Linked DNA regions of Mus musculus. The protein of the gene in region 1 interacts with the protein of each later gene in a pairwise test. Links are inferred from orthologs where the notes say so. Each region holds a gene or a part of one and is shown on either strand. Other genes may lie near its edges.

Region 1 (7,220 bases):
ACAAGATAAGTATGTAGACTCCTGTCGTGTGTGTGTGTGTGTGTGTGGTTGTGTGTGTGTTGGGGGAGACTTCTTAAGCAGCATTGCCAGATTCTGATCTGTAGTGCATTTCACAAATGCCTCTCCTCCCCCCGTGATTTCTGTGTTAGTTCAGGTTCTAATGGATGTACATTTGTTGTACAGATCTTTTCCAATGATGGACAGTTCAAAAGTCGTTTCGGCATCCGAGGACGATCACCCGGACAGCTCCAGCGGCCCACGGGGGTAGCGGTGCACCCCAGTGGGGACATCATCATTGCAGATTATGACAACAAGTGGGTTAGCATTTTCTCCAATGATGGGAAGTTTAAGGTAAGAGTGACTACAATTTGGCCACCAAGTAGTAGAAAAAGCAAGAAATATGACATTAAATTATATTTTTCTTGGTTTAAATCTAAGCCATTATTTTATAATTCTTCATATAGGGTCATCAATTTCAGTTTTATTAAACTGTGATAATTTTATAAACTTGTTCTCTCTCTCATACACATATGGACACATATAGGTACATATACATGTGTAAACATACCTATGCATATGCACACATACATGTATATACATATACACATACATGCATGCACATACATGCATATATAAGTGTCATTTATTTCATAAAGCTTGTTTGCTTCAAAAATCTCGCTTATCAGGAAACGATATTGATTGCCTTAATTTGAGTAAAAAAAAAAAAAAAAAAAAAAAAAAAAAAAAAAAAAACTCTTGCAAAGGGTTATAAAGAGGCAATTTGTTATTCCCAAGTTAATTTGCAGACTGTCACAAGGTTTTGTTACTTGCTCAGCCTGTGATGGGGTGGAAAGCCTGGGAGAAACAGCATTATAGTGCACATTTCCTACATTTAAAGCATACACAGGCATACTGAGGGAAAGGCCTGAGGCACAAGAGCTTTTAAATTGGTTGTAAATTATTTGCTATAACTTGGAAAGGCAACATTAATGAATGTCACATAGAACTAAGAAGGAAAAGAAAATGGAGGCCGGTTAGATAGGGACAAAGCCAGTTCACCTATACTCCGGGATTCTGTCAGGAGACAACGTTGAAGGCTTCAGTCCACAGCCACTTGGCCCTTGTGCTTTGGTTCTGTGGCAAAGGGAAGCACAGGGTAGAGGGAACCACTGAGCCCATGGCTTAGGAAAGCAGAGCAAGCAGGAAGTGAAGAGAGTCCCACAGCCTCCTTTAGGGCTGTGCCCCTGTGACCTCCCTTTCTTCCGCGGGACCCTACGGCCTCCCAGTGGCAGTGAGGACTAGGCCTTTGGCATCCGGGACTTTGTGTAGATTCAAGATCCAACCGTGACAGCTTCTGCTTCTTCCCAAGTTATCAGGGACGAGAGGAGCCCAGGGGATTCTCCTGTCAGGTCTTACCAAAGAGTCACCGTTACTCACAGGCCTATGAGGCACTGACTGGGTCAAAGGTCTTTTGGAAGACCACATGCACTATGATCATGCTGTTCTTCGCCCAGCCTACCGAAGGCTTCTGATTTATTCGACAACATGAATGTTAACTCAGATCGACTCCTGGAATCCTACTTCTGGGCTTTACTAACTTTTGGTCTTTGGGAAAATCCCATCATTTCTCTGAGTATTTAAAATTCGGTGTTTAAAAACATCTATCTCACAGGATTTGAGTACAAATTAAATGAAATTTATTTCTGAATTTTTACATGGGCCTCATCTAAGAAATGTTTTTCTCCATGCCTCTTGTGATCATTTGCATAACATAAAGTTTGTGTGAGCAGCTGAGACTTGGGCTTCATGGCTGAATGAAGGTGTTTAGTTGCCACCACATTACTTCCTTCTCTGAGGGTTTGGGGTGTGTTTTCCTAATTCATTCTGGAACCTTTCTCATTGATCGAAGGCACTGGAAGGCTTTAGGTTGTCATGGTTACCTCATGGTATTTACAAGATGGCATTTATGAGATGAGATGGGTTTTACATTTTTTTTTTTTTTTACTCTCAGATTAGAGCCCTTGCTTTATGTGAGGCAGTACCTTTTCAATCTAAGAAAATAAAGGGCTGTCTCCTTTAACAGTGTGATAGTGCATCTTTTTGTTCCGCTAGAACCTGACAGCTCCATATAACGGCCACAGGTACAGGAAGCTCTCATGTTCTGTATCTTCCAACACCCAACCGTGACAACTCTGGTAGGAACACGGAGAAAAACTGTTTGCTGTCCTCTAGAAGAACTCTAGTTTGGAGACAACCTGCTTATGCTTGTCTTAGACTTTGGCCAAAAAAAAAAAAAAAAAAAAAAAATTAGCCATCTGTACCTTTGGGAGCAAATACAACAGCAAGCAGCTTTTGCATATTGAGCAAGAGTTTGCTAGCTGAGAGAGAGAATGGCTCCCTGAATGACATATTTTACACTCATGACTTGATAGTTCCATACACATAATAAATACTTGGAAGAACTGAAATCCTAAAGTTGGGCTCTGTTGGTCACAAGTGCTGTAGACACTGTGGAGTGCAAAGACCTTGGAGCACTCCTGCCCCCCAGAGGATGGAGAAGGATATTGCCTGTTGCAGCAAGAACCTCGTTAGGATAGATGTTGGTTAGACCCCATTAAGGTAAAAAGAGCATATGAGAGCACTCGAGTACTGTAAAAAGTTCACCCAGGTGTGCAGGCTACAATTGAGTATCAGAAGATTGCTGCTTTGCTCTTTTAATGAGACAGTGAACGCAACAGTGCAGCTGACTTCTCTTTTACCCCAACATGGTCTTTTTTTATATATATATATAATTTCTGAAAGCTTTTAATTTATTCCCTCCCAAAAGAACAATTGTAATCAAAGGGGTTGAATGGTCAAGATTTTATTGTCTTCATAACAAAATCGGCTTAGAACTGGATCACTTGGCCCTTTCTCTTCTTGTCGCCTCCCAATTCAAAATGCTCGCATCTCTTCCTAGCCAGCATCCTCTTAGATCTGCAGTTGGGCTCTACGCTCTCTAGTCTCAGCACAATTTTCTTTGTAGTTTTAGCCTTTTTGCGGAAAATAGGCTTAGTCTGCCCACCATAGCCACTCTGTTTCCTGTCATAGCGCCGCTTTCCCTGGGCATACAAAGAGTCCTTGCCCTTCTTATACTGTGTCACCTTGTGGGATTGGTGCTTCCCACATTTCTTGCAGAATGTCTGGCGGGTCTTAGGCACGTTCACCATGTTCGCAGGAGCACTATCAGCTTGGAAAGAGAGATGCTAGAGCAGCAATGGAAGTTTATAGGAGATCCAACATGGTCTTTATACTTGCTCCTGACCATCTCAGATGTGTAGCATCTTTACTACCGTTTTTTATAGACATCTGGTGTGTAGTCGAGTAGTCATCCTCCCCTGCCTCCTTTTATGTCTTCCCTTTCATCTTCCCTCATGGCTTATATCTTCCAGACCAGCTGGGAACCTTTTGTAATCAGAAAAACATTAAAATTAAAAAAAAAAACCATATACATATGAAACACAAACATGGCGACCTTTATGGCTACTATTCTAAAATGTCTCAACGTTTCCCTCTTCAGCATGAAAGCTGTTTGTTGAGTTAAATGCTCTTGTTTAACTGTCTCCAACATATCTGAAATATGTTTCTTACTAGTCTAAGATAGTGGGGGTAACACGGTGAGGCCAAATGTGTGGCTTCTTATTTCACTTTGTAGAATTCAGTGCTTCTGAAGTGGACACAATAGTGGAGGGAGAAAGCAACATTGTTTTTCAGCTTTAAGTTGTGCTTGTAGATCTGCCCTAGCCGGCATCCGGGCATCCTGTAGTAGAACTAAGATAATCCTTTGGCTTCTGTTTTCATTCTAGATAATTATCCACTTGGTATCATATGGTTGAGTCATTCTGAGTAACTACTGATGTTTGTAACGTTAAGTAGTAGTGTATTAGGCGGTTAATGAGCGGAGCGCCAGCTCTCCTTTTGATCTCTCGTGATACCTTCCTTTTAGACTTGAAAGAGGTTAGCGATTTCCTTACATGCCATTATGTTAGAGCCTCTTTGATCCGTGGGCTTCATTGCAGCATCAGAATCAAACTTGCACAAGAGATTCCCTGGCCTAAGACAAGATGTTTCCCTTTCTATGTAATTGTGTCTCTCTGCTTGAAGGCAATCACACCTGAATCTCCGTCATTTGTAGACTTAAAAGAATAAAGAGTCACACAAGAAGTTCTACTTGGAGAAACTCCATCTGCATTAGGAAATGAAGAGTACATATGTGGGAGGTTGGAGAGATTGTCCAGTGGATGAAGCTTTTGTTGATTTTGTAGAGAAGCCAGCACCCACGTTTGTAGCTCACAACCATCTGTAATTCCAGTTCCAGGGGATTCGATGTCTTCTTCCGACCTCTAAGTTCACCAAGCACACACATGATACCCAGACATACACATAGGCAAAATACTCATGCACATAAAGTAATATAAATAACTCTAAAAAATTAAAATGTATATCTGTAGCTCACAGATTTCTATCTGCCAGTGCTAATATGGTAGGAGAGGGCTTCATAGCAGAATGTATGAAACGTAATTAGTGGGGATTAGTTTTTAATTTAAAAGCTCATACAAATAGGCTTTAAAAATACGTGAAAAGTATAAAATAAAAGGTAAACATTCCTTTTGCCACCACTGACGCTCCACTTCCTAGGCTACAGAGTCTGGTGTCTAGCGTTTCTTCCCGGAACTCCAGTTTGCCCAGGATTTTAGTGCTGAGTATGAAATGTAGTTTCCGGTGTGCTCAAAGCAAGTGACAGGCAGGAGCAAGATCTCTCTCTAGACCTTGTACTCTTTCATCAAGTGTCTGTTTAGAAGGGCACTGTGGTCCAAATTTGGTGGCAAATGCCTTAAAAATAAAGCTTTTATATAAATGTCTGTAGCAGATGCTGAATATGGTAGAGCCATTTTTCTGGGACAGAGATAACATTTCAGCCAATGTTTTCCTAAGACAACTAACTAGCTTCAGGTTGGTTTCTGGAATGCTTTGAACTTTGATGTATATTTCTGTACTTGCTTCTAACAGACAAAAATTGGATCAGGAAAACTGATGGGGCCCAAAGGAGTTTCTGTGGACCGCAATGGGCACATTATTGTGGTGGACAACAAGGCGTGCTGTGTGTTTATCTTCCAGCCCAACGGGAAAATAGTCACCAGGTTTGGTAGCCGAGGAAACGGGGACAGGCAGTTTGCAGGTACACTCGATGGTAATATGTGAACTCCCTTCTTTGTGCTTCTTCTGCTCACATTTGCATGATGTCTGAGCATGTTGAAGGTGCCCAGTCCCCCAGTGTGCGTGCCATCTTTAGGGGGCGTACGAGGGGTGGGGCCAGAGCAGGGGGCGTGCCAGGGGTGGAGCCAGAGCAGTAGGCGTGCTGGGGGTGGAGCCAGAGCAGAAGCGGCAATGAAGCAAGCAATGAAGACACTTCTCAGTTGTCCTGAGAAGGTTCAGTTGAAAGTGCGGCCTTTAAATGGTTTCTACCGATGGCTGCTCACACTGCAGACAATGGATTTTTAAATATTTGTATTCAGTGAAATAATACATCTTAAAATAAAATATTTACCAAAAACAAACAAACAAACAAACAACCCACAAGTGTTTGAAGATCAGTGAGCTGCAGTTTTTCCATGGCTGCAGTTTTCTTTCACAAGCCTCTGGATGGGGGCTGTTTTACCTTTGTAGGTTACTGTAAGAGGGCAGGAGTGTAAGTATTTGCTAAGAGCAGCAAAGACAGTCTTCTTTCTCTCTTTCTTTCTTTCTTTCTTTTTTTTTTTTTAACTTTGCATCTTGCAACTTTGCAATCACAAGCTTTTGTTGGTTGTGCACATCTGCAAGAAAAGGCTGAGCACAGTCCATTGATTTTTCTTTCCAAAGGATGCTTGGCACTATTTCAAGTTTAGCTGGCATCATTTTTCTTTGTGTTCATTCTCTCCTTCTTTGTCTGGCCCAGATTCTGAATAGTCACTCAATATTATAAAATGCAGGTTTTTTTCCCAGAAGAAAAGTTATATTTTAGAAGCTCTTTCCCAGAGCAGAGAATGCCAATAGTTTTCTTTTGATTATTAGAGCACTGCTTTACTTCCATACGTAGCAAAAGCGTGCTGCGGTCAGGGGTGGTGGGTATGGCTTACGGAGGGGCAGAGCGAGAAGAGTTGCTGGCGCTTCCTGCTCATCCTATTTTCTTAGGACTGCCACTTCTAAGGCTTGGTGGGGCGAGGTCAGAGCAGACAGCTGAGAAACGTGCTGGATCCAGTTTATCAGGAGCTAGAAGTCTGGCCAAGTGATGGTTCATGGACTGGGGCTCGGGTTCTCTGTCCTTCCTTAATTAGGTCGGTGTGTTAGCCTTGTCTTGTGCTGCAGCAACTGCTGTGCTTGTCATCGTGTTTGCTGTCGGAGCCCTCACGTGTTTCTCCTCCATTTTATTGCAGGTCCCCACTTTGCAGCTGTGAATAGCAATAATGAGATCATCATTACAGATTTCCATAATCACTCTGTCAAGGTACTGTTAGTACTCGGACTGTTGTTAACTCTGCACTCCTTGTACGGAGAAATTGTCTAGTTGTAAATAATGTACAGCACTGTACAGACACTCGGAACGGAATGGAGTAAACCTATGGGGATCTGGCTTCAGCTTAAACATGAACTTTTTTTTTTTGGTTTTTCGAGACAGGGTTTCTCTGTGTAGCCCTGGCTGTCCTGGAACTCACTCTGTAGACCAGGCTGGCCTCGAACACAGAAATTCACCTGCCTCTGCCTCCCAAGTGCTGGGATTAAAGGTGTGCGCCACCACGCCTGGCAAACATGAAGGTTTTAATATGGACTTACATACTTGGAGATAAAATATGATGGACATCAGTTTCTTAATTGGAAACTGAGATGATGAGAATGATTTAAAGATTTGTAAAACAGTTGCTTGGACATAGAGACAGAAGTGACAGAAGTGTGTATGTTTCTAGAAGGAGGAGGATTTCCTGAGGGCTGGGGGCTGCAACTCAATGATAGTCTTAGTTAGGATTTTACTGCTGTGAACAGACATCATAACCAAGGCAACTCTTATAAAAGAGAACATTTAATTGGGGCTGGCTTACAGGTTCAGAGGTTGAGTCCATTATAATCAAGGTAGGAGCATGGCAGCATCCAGGCAGGCATGGTGCAGGAGGAGCTGAGAGTTCTATGAGCTGATCCAAAGGCAGCCT
Region 2 (7,320 bases), on another chromosome or scaffold:
TAAGTAAAAATTTCTAGTAAGTGTTCTGATTTTGTTTGTTTTGAGAGAGTGCCTGACTGGGTTGGCTTCAAACTCATACAGATCCACCAACCTCAGCCTCCTGGGTGCTGGGATTTACAAGCGGGTGCCACCGTGCTAGCTCTGTGTTCAGAGTCTTCTTGTTGCTGTTTTGTTTTTCTGTGCGTGTGTATGCCAGAGGCTAACATCAAGTGTCATTCTTCATCTTTATTTTTAAGTTTGGATGTTTGTCTGTGTGTATGTGTACCACATGTGTGCAGTAGCATGGAGATCAGAAGAGGGTACCAGATTCCCTGAGACTCTAGTTCCATATAGTTGTAAGCCACCACTTGGGTGCAAGGGATTGAACCCTTATTCTTTGGAAAGGTAGCCAGTGCTCTAAAACACTGGGATATCTCTTCAGTCCCTTAGCTTTGTTTTGTTTTTTAATTGTGTGTGTGTGTGTGTGTGTGTGTGGAGTGCAGTACCTGCAAAGGCAAGAAGAGGATATCCATGATCCTCTGGTACTGGAGTTACAAGAGGTCATAAGCTGTTTGGTGTGGGTGCCAAGAATCAAACTCAGGGCCTCTGCAAGAACAGTGTGTGCTTTTTAACTTCTGAGCCATTTTTTCAGCCTCCTTTGCCTTATCATTTTAGGTAGAGTCTGCCACTGAACCTGGAGCACATCCATTTAGGTAGGGTGGGCGACTGGCCAGCGAGCCCTAAGGATTCATCTCTTTCTGTGTCCGTGGCCTGCACAGGGTCCAAGCCCAGGCTTTCGTGCCTGAGGCGCTTTGTCAGGTGAGCTGCCTTTGCAGTGTTGTTTGATATTTTTTGAGAATCTTAGTACATTGCCCAGGCTAGCCTCAAATGTATGCACCTTAGCCTCTTTCATATTAGGACTTCAAGCTATGCAACCATTCCCGTCTTGTTTGTATGCTTAATGTCTATCTATAAATCAAAGGGAAGAGCAGGGGACATAGGTAAGTTGAAGAGTGCTTGTCTGCCACAAACCCTGGATTTAATCCTCACATCAAATATGCTGGGTGGGGACACATACACATACATACATATATACATACATACATACATACATACATGCACACACATACACACTTACAGCCCTGGAGAGTTGAAGCCAAAGGGATCACGAATTCATGCTCATTCTTGGCTACACAGAGAGAGTTTGAGACCAGCTTATGCTTTAGCCTGAATTCCATCCCCACTACTAGCCACATGGAGAGTTTCAGGCCATCCAGGGCTATGTAGTGATACCCTGTCTCAAAAAAGAGAAGAGTCAAGAATAGTAGCATGTTCTTGCAATCCCAGGACCAAGGAAGCTGAGGCAAATGAATGCCAGCAGATGTTCCATAGATAGAAAGATTCTGTCTCAGAAACAAAACACACAGAGCACACACAGACACACACAGAGACACACACACATACACACACACAAACACGTTTGAAGCCATCCTAGGCTTTATATGGTGACACCCTGTTTTAAACAAAGATGAATAAAACAGGTTACTAGAGGGCATAGCTCTGTGGTAGTAAACTTTCCTAGTTTAAGAAAGACTTTAGGTTTGCTATCTAGTGCCAGAAGAAATGAAGGAGAGGAGGAGGGGAAAAGACTGCTAAACACAGAAAGGTTTGTTCTTCAGCTACCTGAAGAGTCACTCCAGGCTTAGAGAATTCCGACTCACTTCCAGTCTCTGGAGGATGAAAAAAAAAAAAAAAAAAAAAGGGTCTCACTATGTTGACCTGGTTGACCTGGAACTCTCTATTTGTGTAACAGATCCCCAGACTCTAGCACAACTGACTCCATGATGGAAGTACCATTCAAGCCATAAAATTCATCATGTAGACAGCCCCACCAGCTAAAATAAAAACAAAATCTAATCTATCAAAGTTCATAGTTCTGGGAAAGTCTCTAAGTGTGCTAACTTTGCTTTTTAGCTTCTGTAGTCTTCTCCAGTGGGTGCCCAACAGCAATGTAGACCTGTGTCTTCTTCCAAGTGCTAGATTTTTCTCTAAAAAAAAAGAGAGATTTCTTTCATTTTTAATTACGTATGTGTAAAAGAGAACAGGAGCACACAGAAGCCAGAAGGCGGCATCAAATCCTCTACGATTGTGGGTAATTGTGAATCACCAGATATGGGTGTTAGGACCTGAACTCAGGTCCTCTGTAAGAGCAATGTATACTCTTAACTCTCCAGCTTCCAAATTCTTTTCTGTGTGCATGCTCCTGCAGAGGGGTGGGGGTGGGGCATGCTCACTTTCCTCATTAATCTAAATAGGTTTCCCATTAAGAAAGTATTTTCACACTAAGAATAGAATAGATGAAGGCTCAAATTTGCCTGCCTTCAGATGGAAATAGGCAGTATTCTTGGTTTGGTGGTCTATGATGGGGAGTTGATAGTTTCTTGTGAGGCCTGGGGAGTGGTGGTGGTAGTGGTGGGATAGGATGAGTTTTTGTTTTGTCGGTTTGGTTTTTAATGAACCTTTCAGAAGCTGAAGATTTAGGCTTGCCTAGCATACACACAGCCCTAGATTCCATCCCCACCACTAAATAAACTACACATGGTGGCCCTAGCCTGTAATCCCTCAGCCTGCAAACCCTCTTGTAATCCTCTCAGGTGGTAGGGACTCTGATGCTGGAGGCAGGGGGATCAGAAATTCAAGGTCATCCTTGTCTACCTGGAGAATTTGAAACTAGTTTGAAGAGAAGGGGTGGGGAAGTAAGAAGTAGTTCCAGGCTCCCCTACCCCCTCGCCTGCATGCCCAACTCTACTACCTGGAACAGTCCAGGTTGAGGAAAAGAGTTAGTTCCTACTCCAGCCCTCCAAAATTCAGGATGGGCCACAAGCTTCAGCAGAGACAGTCAAGACCTTGGGTTAGCTTCCTGTGGCTGGGCACAGCTCCTGATGGCAGGCCAGCTCTGGAAGAGGGATAGTCCTCTGCTCTTGGTCTTCCCCTGCCGGCCGGAAGCCTGTGGTGCCTGTGCCTCCACTGAGCTTTAGTGCCAGCTGGGGATGCTTAGGGGTTGAAGGAAATTCTCCCCAGAACCACTTCGCTGACACCTGTCCAGGTGGAGCATCTACAGGATACCAGTTTGCCCCCACAGCCAGGAGGTAGAGGGACTGCAGACTTCTACAGACCCTTGTCTCAGGAATATCTCTCCTTGTTAGCGATCGCGTGGCGTGGAGTGGGGTCGACCTGATAGCGTCTGTAGTGAGGCGGGGCCGAACAATCCCGGGGGCGGGGCGGGGCGGCTCCTGGCCCAGCCCGCCCTGACTCACCCTCTCTGGCCCGCCCGGGAACTCTGCGGGAGTCCGGGTCGATCTACTCCCAGGCATCTAGAAGTTGGGCCCCGGAGTTCCATCCCTGAGCAGTGAGTAAGTAGCGGGGGCTTGGGAGGCTTTCGTCCCACCGTGTAGATCAACCTGGACCCAGGGAATGGCCCGGAGGAGTGGAGGGAGTCGCTCAGGTGTGGGTGGTTCCGTGGCCTTGGCCGGAGCAATCCCACACACATTGAAAGCCCGGGCTGGGAGAGGGGTGCGGTAATCCCCAGCTTGGCCCCAGGGAGCTGGTGTCCTGGGATCCAGGCAGTTCGGGATCAAGCGAAGGAAGAGAGATCAACAGGCAGGAGTCGACTTTGACAGTCTTTGGCAGCCTGTCCCAGCGTGGGGTGGTGGAGGTAGCTGAGAAAGACAGAGCTCATCTTCATGAGCGCCCTAAAAGCTGCAGAACCCCACCCTCACAAGCCTGCTCCCTTACATTTCAAGGTTCTTATATTTGAAGACTACAAAAAACCCTTCCAAATCCCAGCAGAATAAGCTTGGGAAGGGGCTAGCCTAGGAGTCTATAGGCCCCCAAGACTTTCCTCTAGGGGTGTCTTTCCCTTACCTCTTTATCCCCCTTGTGAGAAGTGTAGGGATTAGTTTTTCAAGAGCTTAATTTTTTTCTTTACTAGTTAGTTAGTTAGTTAGTGTGTGTGTGCATACATGCCACGGCACTCTCATCGAGGTCAGAGACAACTTGTAGTAATTGGTTCTCTCCTTCCACCTATGGGTCCCTGAGATTGCACTGAGGTCTTCTAGCTTGGCAACAGGTGCCTTTGTCCAATGAGCCACCTCCGCAGCCCTGTGTTTTGGGGTGTTGCTGTTGTTGTTGTTGGTTTGTTGGAGACAAGGTCATATAATGCTGGCCTGTTTCTAACAAGCTTGCTTGCTACACAGCTTAGGGTGAGCTCAATGTGTTGGTCGTCTTGCCTCTATCCTAAGGAGTATGATAGAGATGTGCACCCACCATTCCAGGTTTTATGAGATGCTGGGAATTGAACCCAGGGCCTGAATAAGCACTCTATCAACTAGGCCACATTCCTAGTTCTGACTTTGTATTCTAAAAGTTGAAAACTCTTCTGTCTCTTCTCGGCCCTTAGCATATGAGCTACAGCTGGGGAGACAGGCTGAGGTTGGGAACATCCCCTGCCTCCATTGCATCAGCAGGAGCAGTGCTAAGGCTTAGCTGTGGGAAGGAGCTTGCAAGATAGGAAGGGGGTGTTGGTAGATCTAGGCTACCCTGCCCACTTCTATGTGGGTGCTGGGAATATCACTCGGATCCTCGTGCTTGTGCATCAGATATTTCACTTACTGAACCATTTCCCCAAAGCGCACTCCTTACATACATAGAGGCTGCATCTCAATGAGGGGTGCTTTCAGTGGGTGGAAACAGAGTTGGTGCCATCAAACAGGAGGTAGACTTTGGCTGGGCAGGCTCAAGTGATACTTGTAGCAGTGAAATCCTCAGCGAGTTATGTTCATCCTCCAAGATGAAAGGACAAAGACCCTCACACTTATACTTCCCAAACTGGGATAAAACTCAGCATTAGGCTAGACATGGTGGCACACCTCTGTAATCCCAGTACATTTTCGGTTCATCTTGTTCTACATAGCCAGCACCAGCCTAGACAAGGCTACATAGTAAGACCTTGTTTCAAAAAACTTGAGGGATACAAGAGGGCTGGAGGGTGGACCAGTGGGTAAAGTGCTTGCTGCAAAGGCAGGCGCACCTGAGTTTGCATCTCATGCCCACATTAAAGGAACTCTAGCCAACCTGAGCATGGCAAGCATGGCTGTGGCAGGCCTTGCCGTTCTCCCCCGACCCCCATTTCCATCTGCTTTGCTAAAAACTGTTAGATTACATTTCTGAAGCTAGCCCCTAAGGTTTATTTCCTTATTTGGCTACTTCCCTCTCCTGAGACTGACTGCCAAAATACAGGTAACAAAGTATTGAAGTCCAGGAATCAGAAGCCCCCTTAGCTCACCTAATTAACATATCCAATCAAAACTGAACTCCTGATCCTAACACAGATTTCTCCTTTACCTTTATAAACGTCCACTTTCCTATGGGCCAACTCTGTCTCCTACTATCCAGAGAAAGTCTTTTGTTCTCCAGGGTAAATTATCCCTTTCCCCTCTGCCTGTTCCTTTCGCCTTCTACCTCGGCCTCCATCTTCTGTCTCTTCATCTCTTATTCCATGCCCTCTGCCCCTCTGGAGCAAATAAATCTCCTTTGTGCTGATTTGGTCTTGGGGTGTCTTGAGCCAACTCCAAGGTTCTTTCTCTACACACATAAAAGCAGGGCACTGTGACACACTTTGGTAACCTTAGTGGATTCCAGAATGACCAGCCAGTCCAGTGAAAATGCTCACCCTCAGATTTCAAGGAGAGGCCTTGTCTCAAAGAAAAAAAAGAAAAAAAGAAAAGATGGAGGATGGGAGAGGTAGCTTAGCAAGCATGAGCTCCTGAGTTTGATAACAAAGATAACTGATGTCATGAATGGTAGAAGACATCTGGCATCAACCACTGGACACATAAGCACACACAAACACACATACACACACACACACACTTTAAAAAAAACCTTAAGCCGGGCGTGGTGGCGCACGCCTTTAATCCCAGCACTCGGGAGGCAGAGGCAGGCGGATTTCTGAGTTCGAGGCCAGCCTGGTCTACAAAGTGAGCTCCAGGACAGCCAAGGCTGTACAGAGAAACCCTGTCTCGAAAAACCAAAAAAAAAAAAAAAAATAAAAAAAAAATTAAAAAAAAAAATAAAAAAAACCTTAAAAATAAAAAAACAAAAATCAGCATGAAGAACAACAAGAGAAATTCTTTCATATAAAATCCATTGTGATTTTTCTCTACACTTCCCCCAGTTCTGTGACCTTTCCACTATCTCTGTCCAGACACAGGGAAGGGGGCCAGCCTTCCATCTGCCTGCTGGAATTTAATGGCAGGTTCTGCAAGATCTTGTTTGAGTCACGGGGCCAGACAATGATAATCCCCTGTGCTTCCCTCTGATTGTGTGTCTACATCGTGTCTTGTTCCTGGGAGCTGAGCAGAGGGCTCCTGTCTCCTGGCCTGTGACTTGTGAGGGTAGCCTGGCAGAGTTGGGAACTGTGACACTGTGACGTGGGTCGTGGAAGGTGGAGACAGGGAACTGGTCCTTGATTTTACATGTGTAGCATCCCTTGAGTCATCTCTCTCCCCTCGTTATTTCTGTCAGATTATGAAGATTGGGATTTTTTCCCCTCCAGTTCTGGAGACACTCTTGCAAACACTTAGTACTAAGCTACAGCCCCTCTTTAAGGAGGGCAACAAAATTTCTTTTTGAAATGTGGTTTCATGTAACCCAGGCTGGCTTTGAGTCTCCTATGTAGCTGAGGATAACTTTGAACTCTGATCCTCCTACCTGAAATCCCCAAGTGCTAAGATTTGCAGGCATGTGTCAGTATGCCTAGTTATGTGGTGCTAGAGACTGGATTCAGAGAATTGTACATGCCAGAAAAGTGCCCTACCAATTGAGCTACTCCACAGCCTGAGACTTTTAAGAGAGTGTTTGGTGAGCATATGTAAAGGACCTTGTTCTCTGGTCGTCTCCTTACATGTACCTGGTTCAGGATGAACTTGGGACCTCAGTGTCATATTTTCTATATAGGAAGACGTAATGCCTGCTCCCTTTTCTACAGAACCCCCTACTCTTCCATATCCACACCTTGGTGTGTGTGTGCGCGCACAAAGCTTGGATGCTGACAGGGGTGGGCTGTCCAAGAGACCTTCACTCTTTGCTTCCTTCTCTGCCCTAAGCAAGTAGCTGACTTCCTGGGAGTCCTGTCTTAGCTCACATTCTACACCCCCGTGTGACTTGGGTCTGGCCTTTGTGATAATGATACCTTAGTAGAAAAGGAAACCAGAGATAGACAGAGTGGGCTGGCAGCCCTGTGCCAGGCTCCAGTCATAGGTGTCACCCTGAGAGTTTTCC

Evidence for each region.
Region 2: the proteins of Trim2 (region 1) and Lrrc8e interact in binary tests that used the Homo sapiens proteins (3 or more experiments, as listed by UniProt). The two-hybrid records come from large-scale screens. The link is inferred for Mus musculus from reciprocal best matches to the Homo sapiens genes TRIM2 and LRRC8E.

What each region holds. Positions count from the first base shown.
Region 1 is NC_000069.6:84,170,763-84,177,982, reverse strand, and holds part of Trim2 (tripartite motif-containing protein 2), read left to right. Parts: intron 1-183; coding exon 184-351; intron 352-2,789; exon of another isoform or gene 2,790-3,345; intron 3,346-5,049; coding exon 5,050-5,218; coding exon of another isoform or gene 5,219-5,230; intron 5,231-6,452; coding exon 6,453-6,523; intron 6,524-7,220. UniProt on the Homo sapiens protein: UBE2D1-dependent E3 ubiquitin-protein ligase that mediates the ubiquitination of NEFL and of phosphorylated BCL2L11. Plays a neuroprotective function. May play a role in neuronal rapid ischemic tolerance.
Region 2 is NC_000074.6:4,223,614-4,230,933, forward strand, and holds the start of Lrrc8e (volume-regulated anion channel subunit LRRC8E), read left to right. Parts: upstream 1-3,213; 5' UTR 3,214-3,392; intron 3,393-7,320. UniProt on the Homo sapiens protein: Non-essential component of the volume-regulated anion channel (VRAC, also named VSOAC channel), an anion channel required to maintain a constant cell volume in response to extracellular or intracellular osmotic changes.